Linked DNA regions of Saccharomyces cerevisiae S288C. Changing the gene in region 1 together with any one later gene gives a genetic interaction. Each region holds a gene or a part of one and is shown on either strand. Other genes may lie near its edges.

Region 1 (4,488 bases):
TTGTATGATGGCCCGAGACTTAAGCCACCTTGTAAAGAGATCATCATTTTCATTGGGAATCTGAGGGGGCATTATATTCAAAACCAAATTTTCAAGCCTAGAAGTACCAGTGCCTCTTGATTGCGCTGTTGATCTTCATTACTATGGTGTTTTTGGTGTCTTGTATGGTTTTTCCATGTTTTTTCCCTGTTTTCTTTTCAATGAAAAACTAAATTGCATGTCTCTCATAATAGAAAATATTCAATATTAACAAAATGTGCATTCTAAAGGAAATTACTATAAAAAATACAGGCATGATAAAAATATATGTACACAAAAATTACGGGCTAGTACCTCACCTCGTAAGAACCGGCTTTCGATATATATTTAATCCATTTTACAGCACGATGCTTACTGTCTTTTCCAGAAATGGTAAAGTATCGTACGACTAAGCCAGAATTACTGAACATCATGACCTCGAATTCCAGGGATATTGGAGGTCTTGTCCATTGTTGAAGATTCAATTGAGTAGTATCACTTGTGGACACAGTAACTGCACTTAAAGTGTTTTCCGTCAACCCATTGTACTTGTTGAACCTCCAAATCATTGCATTTTCTTCTGGCACAAACTTACAGTGGCCATTAGAGACACTTATCTTACAATCCACAGTGCTTGGTGGAACGGGTATATGTAGTACCACATCTTTGGCGGAAAGTTTTCCAGGAAATAAAGACTTCAATGTTATCCTGTAATCAATCTCGTTATCTCTTGTAGAATGTGTAACAATAGGTGTAACCTTGAACGGCAGGTTTATGTTATCTCGTACATGATATTTCATCAACTCCATCGAACCGTCTGGTGGGACGAATTCAATGATATGATTTCTGTTAAATTTGTCAAGTGAGACACATTCGTGAAACTTGCAATCTTCCAACAAAACACTACCGGCAGCAGCTTTGGGAATGAAGTTCTTGTTTCCAAAATCGCTGCCAGAGTGACGCTGCTGCTGTGCTAACCATTTCTTCTCGTCTTCGGACTGCATTCCCAAAGAATCATTCAATCCAAATCTACAAATAGGGGTCCCACTCAAGTGTGTGGTGATATCTATGGTGCCATCAACGTATGATTTCAAGATAGAACCATCCCTAGATACCAGAATGTTTATCCTCTCATTGACATACAAGAAAACTTCATCCTTCTTGTGTATTATCCCCTTGGGCCTCCAAGTGATCTTATTGTTATCATAGAAATCAGAAGTGGAGTCTCCTTGACCCAGGAAACTACTGCTTCTTTTTGTCAAAAATTTGGGAAAATGTAGTTCTCCTGCTGAAGAAGTAGGAGATGAAGAGGAAGATAATACATCATTTCCATCGGGACTATCTAACAATCCGCCCATATTTCTAACGGGTTTCACAGACATCTGCGCTATAACAGAGTTCAATTCAGTGTCAATTGGTATCCCATTTCCACCCAACATTATATCCAGCATCTCATGCACAATCATGAATTCCTCTTTCAAGGCCTCCTCTCTATCCAATCGATAAGCATTCATCACTGCATCAAGCTTATATAAGAACTCCCAGATCGCCGCACTATTAGCGTTGCTTCTCGTAATGGTTACCAACCACAAATTGTCACCATGCCTCGACCTGATGTGATGGAAAGTAGTTGAGCCCAGTGTCAAAACAGGCGATCTAACATCTAGATTATTGATCACTTGTACTCGGAAGATATCGGATATGGACCGCTTCAACGAGTTCTTGAAGAACTTGTTCAAGACAAGTTCACCTCTCGATGAGTATACCAGCACACCACTAATCATTGCTCACCATAACTCTATGTGATTCTTTTCTCCAACCGTTTATGAAAGGTTTCCACACTTTATCATCAAGTTCTCCTATACTAATCAATTAAGGAAAATATGGCTGTTACCCTTCGACCGCAGTTGAAAAAAATTTTCTATCAAATAATAAATGGCTACGATTAGCGAGAAGGGCTGGATGAGATGAGAGTAAGTTGGTCGAAAGTGACTTTGTTGGAGGTTGCTACGAGGCTAGGAACGCAGTCTGGATGTCAATGAGTAATATTGTTGTTTTTGGAGGGGACTCGCACCCCGAGTTAGTTACTAAGATCTGTGAAAATTTGGACATTCACCCATCGAAAGTAGAATTAGGGAAGTTTTCTAATGGGGAAACGAACATTGCTCTTCGCGAATCTGTTCGTGAAAAGGATGTATATATCATCCAGAGTGGTTGTGGCCAGGTGAACGACACGTTCATGCAGTTGCTGATTTTAATCAGTGCCTGCAAGTCCGCTTCTGCCTCGAGGGTTACAGCCGTAATGCCATATCTCTGCTACTCGAGACAGCCAGATATTCCATATACTGCCAAGGGTGCTCCCATAATTTCCAAGCCTAAAGAAAACTATACTTTTGAATCGCATCCAGGCACACCCGTGTCATCTTCTTTAATGACGCAAAGACCAGGTGCTGAGAGCTCGTTGAAGAGTTTGGATAGTGCAATACGATCAACTATCAACTTAGAAAATCCTCAACCTATCAGAACACCAAACAGCAGTGCTACGGCGAATAACAATTTCGACATCAAGAAGACGCTTTCTTTTTCAAGAATTCCTATGATTCCCGGTGGTAAGTTACAAAATACAAGCAATAGCACGGACGCTGGTGAATTGTTCAACGCTCAAAATGCAGGCTATAAGCTATGGGTAGTACAAGCCGGTACTTTGATTGCTCATTTGTTGAGTGCTGCAGGTGCTGACCATGTGATCACAATGGATTTGCACGATCCACAGTTCCCTGGGTTTTTTGACATTCCAGTGGATAATCTCTACTGTAAACCCATTGCACAAAACTACATCCAGCATCGCATTCCAGATTATCAGGATGCTGTGATCGTTTCTCCAGATGCTGGTGGTGCAAAGAGAGCTACGGCTATTGCAGACGCCTTGGAATTGTCCTTCGCCCTAATTCATAAAGAAAGAAGATCTCAGTTATTGAAGGGCCCTCCAGATGCGACGTTAACCTCTGGTGGTTCGTTACCAGTATCTCCAAGGCCATTAGTTACTACTTTGGTTTCCTCCCAAAATACTACTTCTTCAGGTGCCACTGGGGTTGCGGCCCTTGAAATGAAGAAAACAACTTCAACATCTTCCACCTCGTCGCAATCTTCTAATTCGTCCAAGTTCGTTCAAACTACCATGCTTGTTGGCGATGTTAGAAACAAGGTGTGTATTATAGTCGACGACTTGGTGGATACTTCATACACTATTACAAGAGCTGCGAAATTGTTGAAGGATCAAGGATCTACCAAAGTTTATGCCTTAATAACGCACGGTGTTTTTTCCGGTGATGCGCTAGAAAGAATCGGCCAAAGTAGTATAGATAAGTTGATCATTTCTAACACGGTTCCTCAAGATAGAACACTACAGTACCTAGGTAAGGACAGAGTGGATGTTATTGATGTCTCCTGCATAATCGGTGAAGCAATTAGAAGAATCCATAACGGTGAATCCATTTCTATGTTGTTCGAGCATGGATGGTAGTGGCATTGATGTGTTCATTTTTTTATTGATAAAAATAGGGGAAAGTGTCTATATATTTTGCGTATAAAATTCTCTACATTTTTTTTTCTTTGTTTAGTATGTGTATTGAAACATTTTATTTATAGGTTAGAGAAACAAAAAAAAAAAAACTGCAATTTCTTCTTGTATGTCTGTAGAAAAAATTTTAAGCTGCTCTCCCCTGTGATTTCATGCGTCTGGGACTAATAAGAACGGTGATGATGGTTATTATGATGCATGGGCAATTCTTTTGGCATAATCTCTTCATCTTTTTATGGTCGACGAGGAGCCGTTGGCATCATAATTGGAAGTTCTTGACAAAGAGTCGGTGAAATTAGAACGATCATTGTTGTTAGCGTTTTCGTTCTTAAATTTATTCTTAATACTGGAAAATAAACTTGCATTTGAACTTGAACTTTCTCTATCGTCACTTCGATTAGAATTCTCTTGATTGATATTCTCGTTTCCATATTCACTTTTGGATTCGTCCCAATCTTTTGCGGGGCCAATGATGGTTTTTGGAACACCTTTGACTGTGATGACAGATTCCACAATACCATTCTTCGTATTTTGGTAAGAGGTTGAGATTGTAACGTTTTGATTTTCGTTGCCGTGATTCGCGCCAGAATTTGGAATTGATATACTATCAGGGCTATTTCTCGTGGTTTTAGTCGAGGTAGTAACTTGAGTTGGTTGACCCGACCGTTGAGTATGGAGAACAGCTTGGCGAGATAGCTCTGCATGATCACTTAATAGTTGTTGTTCTTCGGCGGAGAGTGATTTATCATTTGAGTGTGGTGCTGGAGAAGGCTCTTTGCTAGAATGAGGAGTGTGTGTAGTAATGATTTTCGGAACATTGGCAGGCTTTTTAATGGTAACAAAAGATTTATTTACGTTCAACGGGTTGGACGCTAGATTTGAAGGTATGA
Region 2 (3,242 bases), on another chromosome or scaffold:
GTCTTTTACTTCACATTGAGTTTTTGTAGCTCAACAGTCTATTTATCAAATATACTTGTTGGAGACCTTACAAAAGTGTCTTTCTACATCTCAACTTAAAGTGATGAAGTTGACAAGGGTCTTACTCTGAAATTCCATCAGAGTAACTACGGTAATCTATATGGATTTCTGTTGGTCTTTAGAACAATCTCTGAGGATGAATTCAAGACTCACCTTCCAGTACATAGTAATCGTAGGCCCTTGTCTGTTATTGTAGAAACTTCTTCGTTGAATTTTAATAATGTGAGACGGAAAGAAATACAACCATATGAACAATTTTTTTAATTGTTAGTTATCCTGCGAACTGTGAGGACCAGTTTAATATATGGGAGGAGTTGAAAAAAATACAGTTTTAAGACTTTAAGCTTTCACGCAATCACTTACATTCTTTTGTGTGTATGCAGGCTATAGCTATCATTGAAATAGTAAAAGAAAGCAACTCCCGTCACTTTTACCATTGGTTCTAGAATGGGTTTGCAGTATGAAAAAAAATGAACGTAAAGAATATATTTCAACTGTCATTTTTAGCCCATTTCGAAGAATGATTGAGCACCGTCATTGATCGCTTAAGATGGCTAGCTTCAACATAGCGGAGTACATTGGAAAATCAGTGATCATTCTGTTGACTTCGTTTCAAATAATTCAGGTCAATATAATGTTAGAGTGTTCAATTTAGTGGGCAGTTTGTAACATGTATTATTGAGCAAGTGAGCTCTGATATCAGAGACGTTAACATGCAACTCAACCAAGTTGACTCATTCAAGTTGTGCTAAAATGGCCGTAGTGGAGGGGAGGGCCAGCGATGCAGGCGACACCAGCAACAGTTGAAGTTAGTTTTACCATTATGTTCGCTTTGCTTGTTAGTGCTGAATAGACTATACTATAAAAGGAGCAATGCAGGATATTCTCCAAGGCATAATGTGTGAAGTGGCCTATTAGTATGAATATCTTAGCAGTTGTTGCTGCTCAAACGAATCATTACACATCTCAAATCATCCTTTGTTCACTTTCTCTTTCTGCACCTACATCACCGTCTTTAACTGCCTTTATTGAGATGTGGCTGCTCCTGACCTGTTCACCTTTTATAAATCTTGCATAGGAAGGCATGCATTGAACTTTTTTTATTTACTTTCGTATGTTCAGACGAAAAAAAAAAATATTTCAGGATTACTTTCCGAAAGAATCCTTTGTATACATGCAATATCCTTAGACCCAACTTGATTAGAACTGTCATCCAGAAGCCCAATGCTCAAGCTTTGAATATCATATTTTAAAAGTTTTTTATGACAATGAAATTTTGTTTCTCCAAGTCAGGACACGGGGAAAATCTTTACTTTTAGTGCTATCCATAAATATACAGTTCTTTAGCCCCATATTTTATCAGTAAAACTACTTATGGCTGTCCTTACCGTATGCGGTATAATGAAACTTTTGAAAGGAACATCTTAATATACCGCCTTGACATATCCGGGTAATAATAATACAATATTCGGAAGTTTTCTAGCATTAAATGGACAGTAAGGTAAAGAAATGAGATGTGGTTGTTATATGGAGATCGTAGAATAAAAAGAGAGACACTTACAGCACTGGTGCGATCCATAACCTGAATTCATAATGCTGGTTCCACCTGCTAACTTTGGGATTGCTGAAGAAGGAATATATAGATGTTCTAAAGTGGAGACATTAAATTTATCCTTTCTGGAAACTCTCAATTTAAAGACAGCTATATTTATTGGAGGTCAAGAACCATCCAAGTTTTTCAAAGATTTTTTCACAAGATCATCCATAAAATGGATTGTTTTAAGGATGTCTGATTTCTCGGCTGCGGCAGTTCCGGTAAAAAGCTCTTCTGTATCTAACGCAAATTTATATTCGAATAATAACAGTACTCTATCATTACAGGAAGAAAAGAAAAAATCCACTGCAAATGGGTCACAAAATTCTACTACAGGGGATCCTGTAATTCAGGAGGAATTGGCTTACCACTTGACTGACAATGATGACTTAATGCTGATTAAGAGCACGTGTTTAAAAAGAACTTTCAAAACATTATTGAATGTGGATAATTATAATGTTTTATTGGTAGATAAGACCGCGTTGGTCATTGGTATACTTCGAAAAATTCAGAAATGGAATATTGCATCAATCATAAATGAGTACAGATTATTTTCTGGTAAGAATAGAAATTATTTTGCGGAAACATTTCTAGAAATAATTAACATTGAGATAGAACAGGAGAAGGATAATAAGACAATTGTGGACAACAAAGCAAAAAAATTGCCCCTTGAGAATAATAGGACGCATTCGATAGAGTATAAGGCCAATTCTGGCAAACTTATTAGAGTAAATGAAGATGACCTTTGCAGAGAGCCAGAAGTGCCTCAGCGGCTTTTGACATTAATAAATCAAATCGAAACCAAAGTGAAAAATAATAAAGTATTACAAGTAAGTGGAGTTCTAGGAGACGATTTGAAGAAAACCTCTTCTGACCTAGGAATTTTTGGCCATAGGTATAGATTAGCATTTAATAAAAAAGAAAATGGAGATTATGGCTATTATAAAGCAAGGGGAAAAGATAACGTCAAAATAAGGATACCCTGTGATTCTGAATTACCAGATTGGTTCAGGTTTCAACGAGATTTGTGGGAAAAAGAAAACGTTCCGGAAGAGCATCACTTTTATAGGGAACATATTTTTACATAGTTTACATTTTTACGTATATGTATAGATGATTTCATGATAAACGTTTTCCACTTTTCTATCATTTCATCATCTAAATGGGAATAGCAAACCCTGGGAGTTCTTTGTCGCACTATTTTCCAAGCGTAAAAAGGCATACTTCAATTTTTCTTTTGTTTACGTTTCAGGAAGTCAACAAAACTTGTTTACTTATAAACACAAATACCTACAGGCACTAAAGTTTGTTTTTTGGCCTCTATAAAATTTCCCTCAATGTTGTATTCTCTGCGTGTACATCCTCATAATCCTCGTTTTCTTCATCATCAAAATTCAAATAAGTGTGATCACCCATCGCTCTTGGTTGGAAGATTAATTTAACCAAAAAAATGATGCCAAATAAGGCGCAAAGCCCTGCAACGATGAGGTACAGTACGCCTAGTGACATATTTCTACCACCAATAGCTCCATTTGTAGTCAGTACAAATGATTTTGTGCCACCAAAGAGTGAAATCGGATAATTCAAC
Region 3 (4,273 bases), on another chromosome or scaffold:
GGACGTTATTGGAGATGCTGTGGTACTGGTGTAAGTAACCGTAGTGCTTGAAGGGGCTGTACTGGGTGATGTCGTAGTGAACGTTGTGCTCGTTGGTGTTGTATTAGACGAGCTTGTAGGTGCTGAAGAAGAAGTTGGCGATGTTGTACTTGTTGAAGTGGAAGTTGACGACGTCGTGCTTGTAGAAATGGGGGCTGACGATGTTGTGGTTGGAGTTGATGATGATGATGATGATGTGCTCGTGGAAATGAGGGTTGACGACGTAGTACTTGTGGTGGTAGATGTTGATGATGTGACACTTACGGTCGTAGAAGTCGACGATGAGGTACTTGTGGTGGTAGAGGTTGACGATGTCGTGCTTGTGGGAATGGATGTTGACAACTTTGTGCTTGTAGTCGTGGGCAGTGCCGATGTTATATCAGTTGATGGTGTTGTACTGGTTGAGGCGGTTGTCAATGGGGTCGTACTCGTTGACGTCAGAGTCGGCGAGATTGTGGTTGTGTCCACAATACTCGTACTACTACTACTCGTGATAGAGCTACTTGAAACGTACACACTGGACTCTGTTGACGTTTCCACACTCTGTACAGAACTTAGCGGGGTTTGCCCCAGATATATATAACCAAAAAGATCCTTATCCGCATTACCACAATCTTCGTAGCCATAACCGGGACAAGTGCCACTGCAGTCTCCCACCGATGTCTGAGTGCTCGGTTCCGAATCACTGCACCAGCACATGAACCCCTGTACGATGGCAAACTGATGACCAGCACAGTTATTTGAACACCAACCATTACTCTGAAATTGATTTCGTACACCGTCAGTGGTCGCTGTGTTTTGCGACGAACACACAGATTGCGTAGCCCGTACCAGGCTACTGCATATAACGCTACATACTAGCCATATACTAACTTTTGCGCTCACCATTGACGTCTGCATGCGTTTTTGGTTTTGTAATTCGAGGTATCTAGCCTTTCTTTCCTTTTAAAAAATAAACAAAATGTACTTGCTGTCATGAGCTCCCTACTGCACCCGCCCCTGAAGCAGGGCAAATCACACTAGCACAGAACGCATATATATATATATTTACACATAACGACCTTGCTGTTTGCAACAAAAGGATTTGCTTACCTTAATTCATGCCCGTATCTTAACGTCGCCCAAAGTGGAAATACCGTAATAGTACCATTATCCTACAGTAAACACTTGCTGCCCGAAGGGGAAACCAAAAAAGGCGCAATATGCAGGTACCGTGCCTCCTGATTCCCTTTTTCACCGTACTCATTCCGTTCCGGGAACCACATTAAGGGTTCCCGCGGCCCCGTCTGTGTCTCACAGTCAACGTCAGGTCCGTACAGAACGGTGTCTCGAGCCTTATCGCTGCACGCCATATACTGTGGATATAATCCGTAACGTCGCAGTAGCAACCGTTCGATGTTGTTGTGCTGTTGTTGTGCTGTTGTTGTTGTTGTTGTTGTTGTTGTTGCCGTTGATACTGAATACTCTTACGTTATCATACGATATATTCTCAATCATTTGAGACGGGAAAGCAATGGACTCATTCGTGAGGAATGATACATATTTTTCATTTTTTTTTTTTTTCAGGTTTCTTGGAAGCTATTCTGTGGGAGCTTCAAATTCCTGGTAGAAATTGATAATAGCTCAGACGTACCTGTAGATCACTATTCGAAATTTCTTAGAGACGTTACAGGGTAAAGGGCTCGCTAGCAAATATGCACGACAAGAAGTCGCCCATGGCGAATTCCCACTACTTGAAAAATCTAAAACAGCAGTTTCGCAACAAGAACCTTATCGAAACGACTATCCATCTAGTAAAGTGCAATGACCATGACTCATTGGCCTTTTTAGCAAGAACATACGGGGTTCCACCACAGTTGCGACACGTCGTGTGGCCGATCCTGCTGAAGTACCACCCAATGTGCATTTCACCAAACATTACCTCCAATACCATTTCTTGGGACCCAATAACCAATGATTTCATACTTAATGACCCTTTTCTGAAAAGTAAGGCTCCAACCGATAAGCAAGACAAGAGCGACGATGAAAATATTCTCCCGTACGATATCGAATCCATTATCCTGCATGATTTGAAAAAATACTTCCACTCCAGGTCTAATCCTGCTGGCTCATCGAGTAATGCTAACACCACCAATATCGCCACCCCGACACCTGTTTCGTCGTCCGACGCTTCCACTATTTCTTCTATGGAGGTACTGTCTCCCTCATTAGACTATGAGTTCCAGATCATCGAGACTTTGAAAAATGCCATCGTGAAATTTCTGCTGAAGTGGTCAAAAATCTTCAAGTACGAAAGCGGTCTTGCCTGGATTGCTCTGGGATTGGCTGAATGGTATCCCATCTATCCCTACGAAACCATGTCTCCTTTCAACGAGACTCATTCATTTTACGAAGTGGAGGATTATGTAGTTCTGAGCGGAAGAAAGCACGCTCTTCTAAGCACTAACAACGGCAATAACGGAAATAGCAACTCCTCTAGCAACAACACCAACAACAATAACACGAATATAACATCGGGCATGCACAACTTGAGCATCAACACAAATACCAGCTTGCACAATTCTCCGTACATTTCTCACACGTTATCATATCTTTATAAGGAATATCCGTTACCCTTTGAGCTGCGATCAAAATTGCCTACAAAACCAATTTTCTCATTTAGTGCCCTTTTCGAAAGACTAGCTCTTGTCATTCTACATTGCCCTGATACCATACTGGCACACAAACAATTGAAAAATGACTCGAACGCATCTTCCAGCTCAAAGGCAAACTCAAACTTCAACACAAATTATTTCCCTATTATATCTGGTGGCGATCTTTCATTTCAGACCCAAGTTTTTTTCAAGGTATTCTCTTCAATTTTGCCAGAGCTGTACCAACCTTTGACAGAGGAATCTTCCTTACAACCTTCGTCGTCAAGAAACTCCTGGATATATTGGTGGTTGAAATGCTCTGGAGCTAAAGCTTTACAAAGACAAGATAGAGGGCGTGTATGGGATTTGCTGCTCGGTTGGAGGCCCAAACCAAACATGGACACGATAAATTTCTTTTTGAACTATAACGATAAGAAAATGGATCACCTCTATCACGATACACCACAATGTGACAACGAGCAGTACTGGATGAAAGATTGGATCGCTTTGTACAATAATGATCCGTTTTGGTTCCCCGATCTGGATAGCATGGCACTAGGTTCGAAAAAATTTCCCTATGATTATAGTGTCTTCAAAGAATTAATTTTAAGGAATAGATACGGAGGTACTCAAAGCAAAGCTCAAAAGGACAACACAGTACCATCTCCTGGTAGTGATTCAAATGATAAGTCAGAATTGAAACTACCGTTTTCTTCCATTGATCCTCATATGCAATTGATTTTCATTTTCATCGCGATTTTGCAGTTTAACGAATTTAAGCTATTAGAATTTGAAGAAGCGGAAATTTCTGAGTTTCTTAATAACGTTCCTCTGCTAACAAAATTTGATGACTCTTCCTATAGGAAGTTATACGAGAATACAGAATCTAGCATAACCAGTTTGCCTTCTTCACCGACTACTTCTACAATGGCGTCATTACAATCCAGTTCCAATTCGAGTGCCCATATCTCGAATTATCACATGTTAATCGAAGTCGGTAATGATGCTAAGGCTTCCCATTGTTTTGATGATCTTTTAAATATGGCTGGGGATATTTGGAGGAAATGGCTATGGAGAGAGTTAGAGGAAAGCTCTCTTTGAAAAGTTGAAATTATTTCCTTTAGAATTATATACTACTTCTACACAATTTTTAACACCTTGCATACGAATTTTTATCTCTAATCAATATTCTTCAAGCACTTTTTGAATACTTTGATGTTTTGATTTTTCGGAAAAGTTAATATTTAGTACCGATACTATACATTATTTTATAAACAAACGTCTTTCTAGATAAGTTTTATTAACTGTTCTATTTATCAATATGAAAAAGTTTCGGAGTTCATAGACCAATATTTTTCAATTCCAACTCAATTCTGCTCGTTGAATCAATACTGTTCAACAACCGTAAGTTTTCCTCGATATTGTTCTGCAAGCTTGGAATCTTCTGAATGATCAGGCCACCGAACTTTATCATCTGCAATTTCACATTCTCAATGGTTTCCTTGTTACAATTTATTGGAAAAGTTTGATCCCATAGTCTCCCCACATTTTGGATAAAGTCAGCGCTACTTATGGTACTAAATCTTCCAACTATCGAGATA

The links. Genes that interact genetically often act in the same process or in processes that back each other up.
Region 2: mutations in PRS5 (region 1) and OCA4 together harm fitness more than expected from each alone (negative genetic interaction), as found in Saccharomyces cerevisiae (2 studies listed by BioGRID).
Region 3: mutations in PRS5 (region 1) and OCA5 together harm fitness more than expected from each alone (negative genetic interaction), as found in Saccharomyces cerevisiae (2 studies listed by BioGRID).

What each region holds. Positions count from the first base shown.
Region 1 is NC_001147.6:210,194-214,681, forward strand, and holds PRS5 (ribose phosphate diphosphokinase subunit PRS5), read left to right. Parts: upstream 1-2,050; coding exon 2,051-3,541; downstream 3,542-4,488. Other genes in the region: CRT10 (Crt10p), read right to left, coding at 1-72; APM4 (Apm4p), read right to left, coding at 327-1,802; MAM3 (Mam3p), read right to left, coding at 3,824-4,488.
Region 2 is NC_001135.5:287,670-290,911, reverse strand, and holds OCA4 (Oca4p), read left to right. Parts: upstream 1-1,653; coding exon 1,654-2,742; downstream 2,743-3,242. Other genes in the region: YCR095W-A (uncharacterized protein), read right to left, coding at 1,115-1,273; aminophospholipid translocase regulatory protein CDC50, read right to left, coding at 2,975-3,242.
Region 3 is NC_001140.6:45,429-49,701, reverse strand, and holds OCA5 (Oca5p), read left to right. Parts: upstream 1-1,733; coding exon 1,734-3,773; downstream 3,774-4,273. Other genes in the region: WSC4 (Wsc4p), read right to left, coding at 1-939; ECM29 (Ecm29p), read right to left, coding at 4,012-4,273.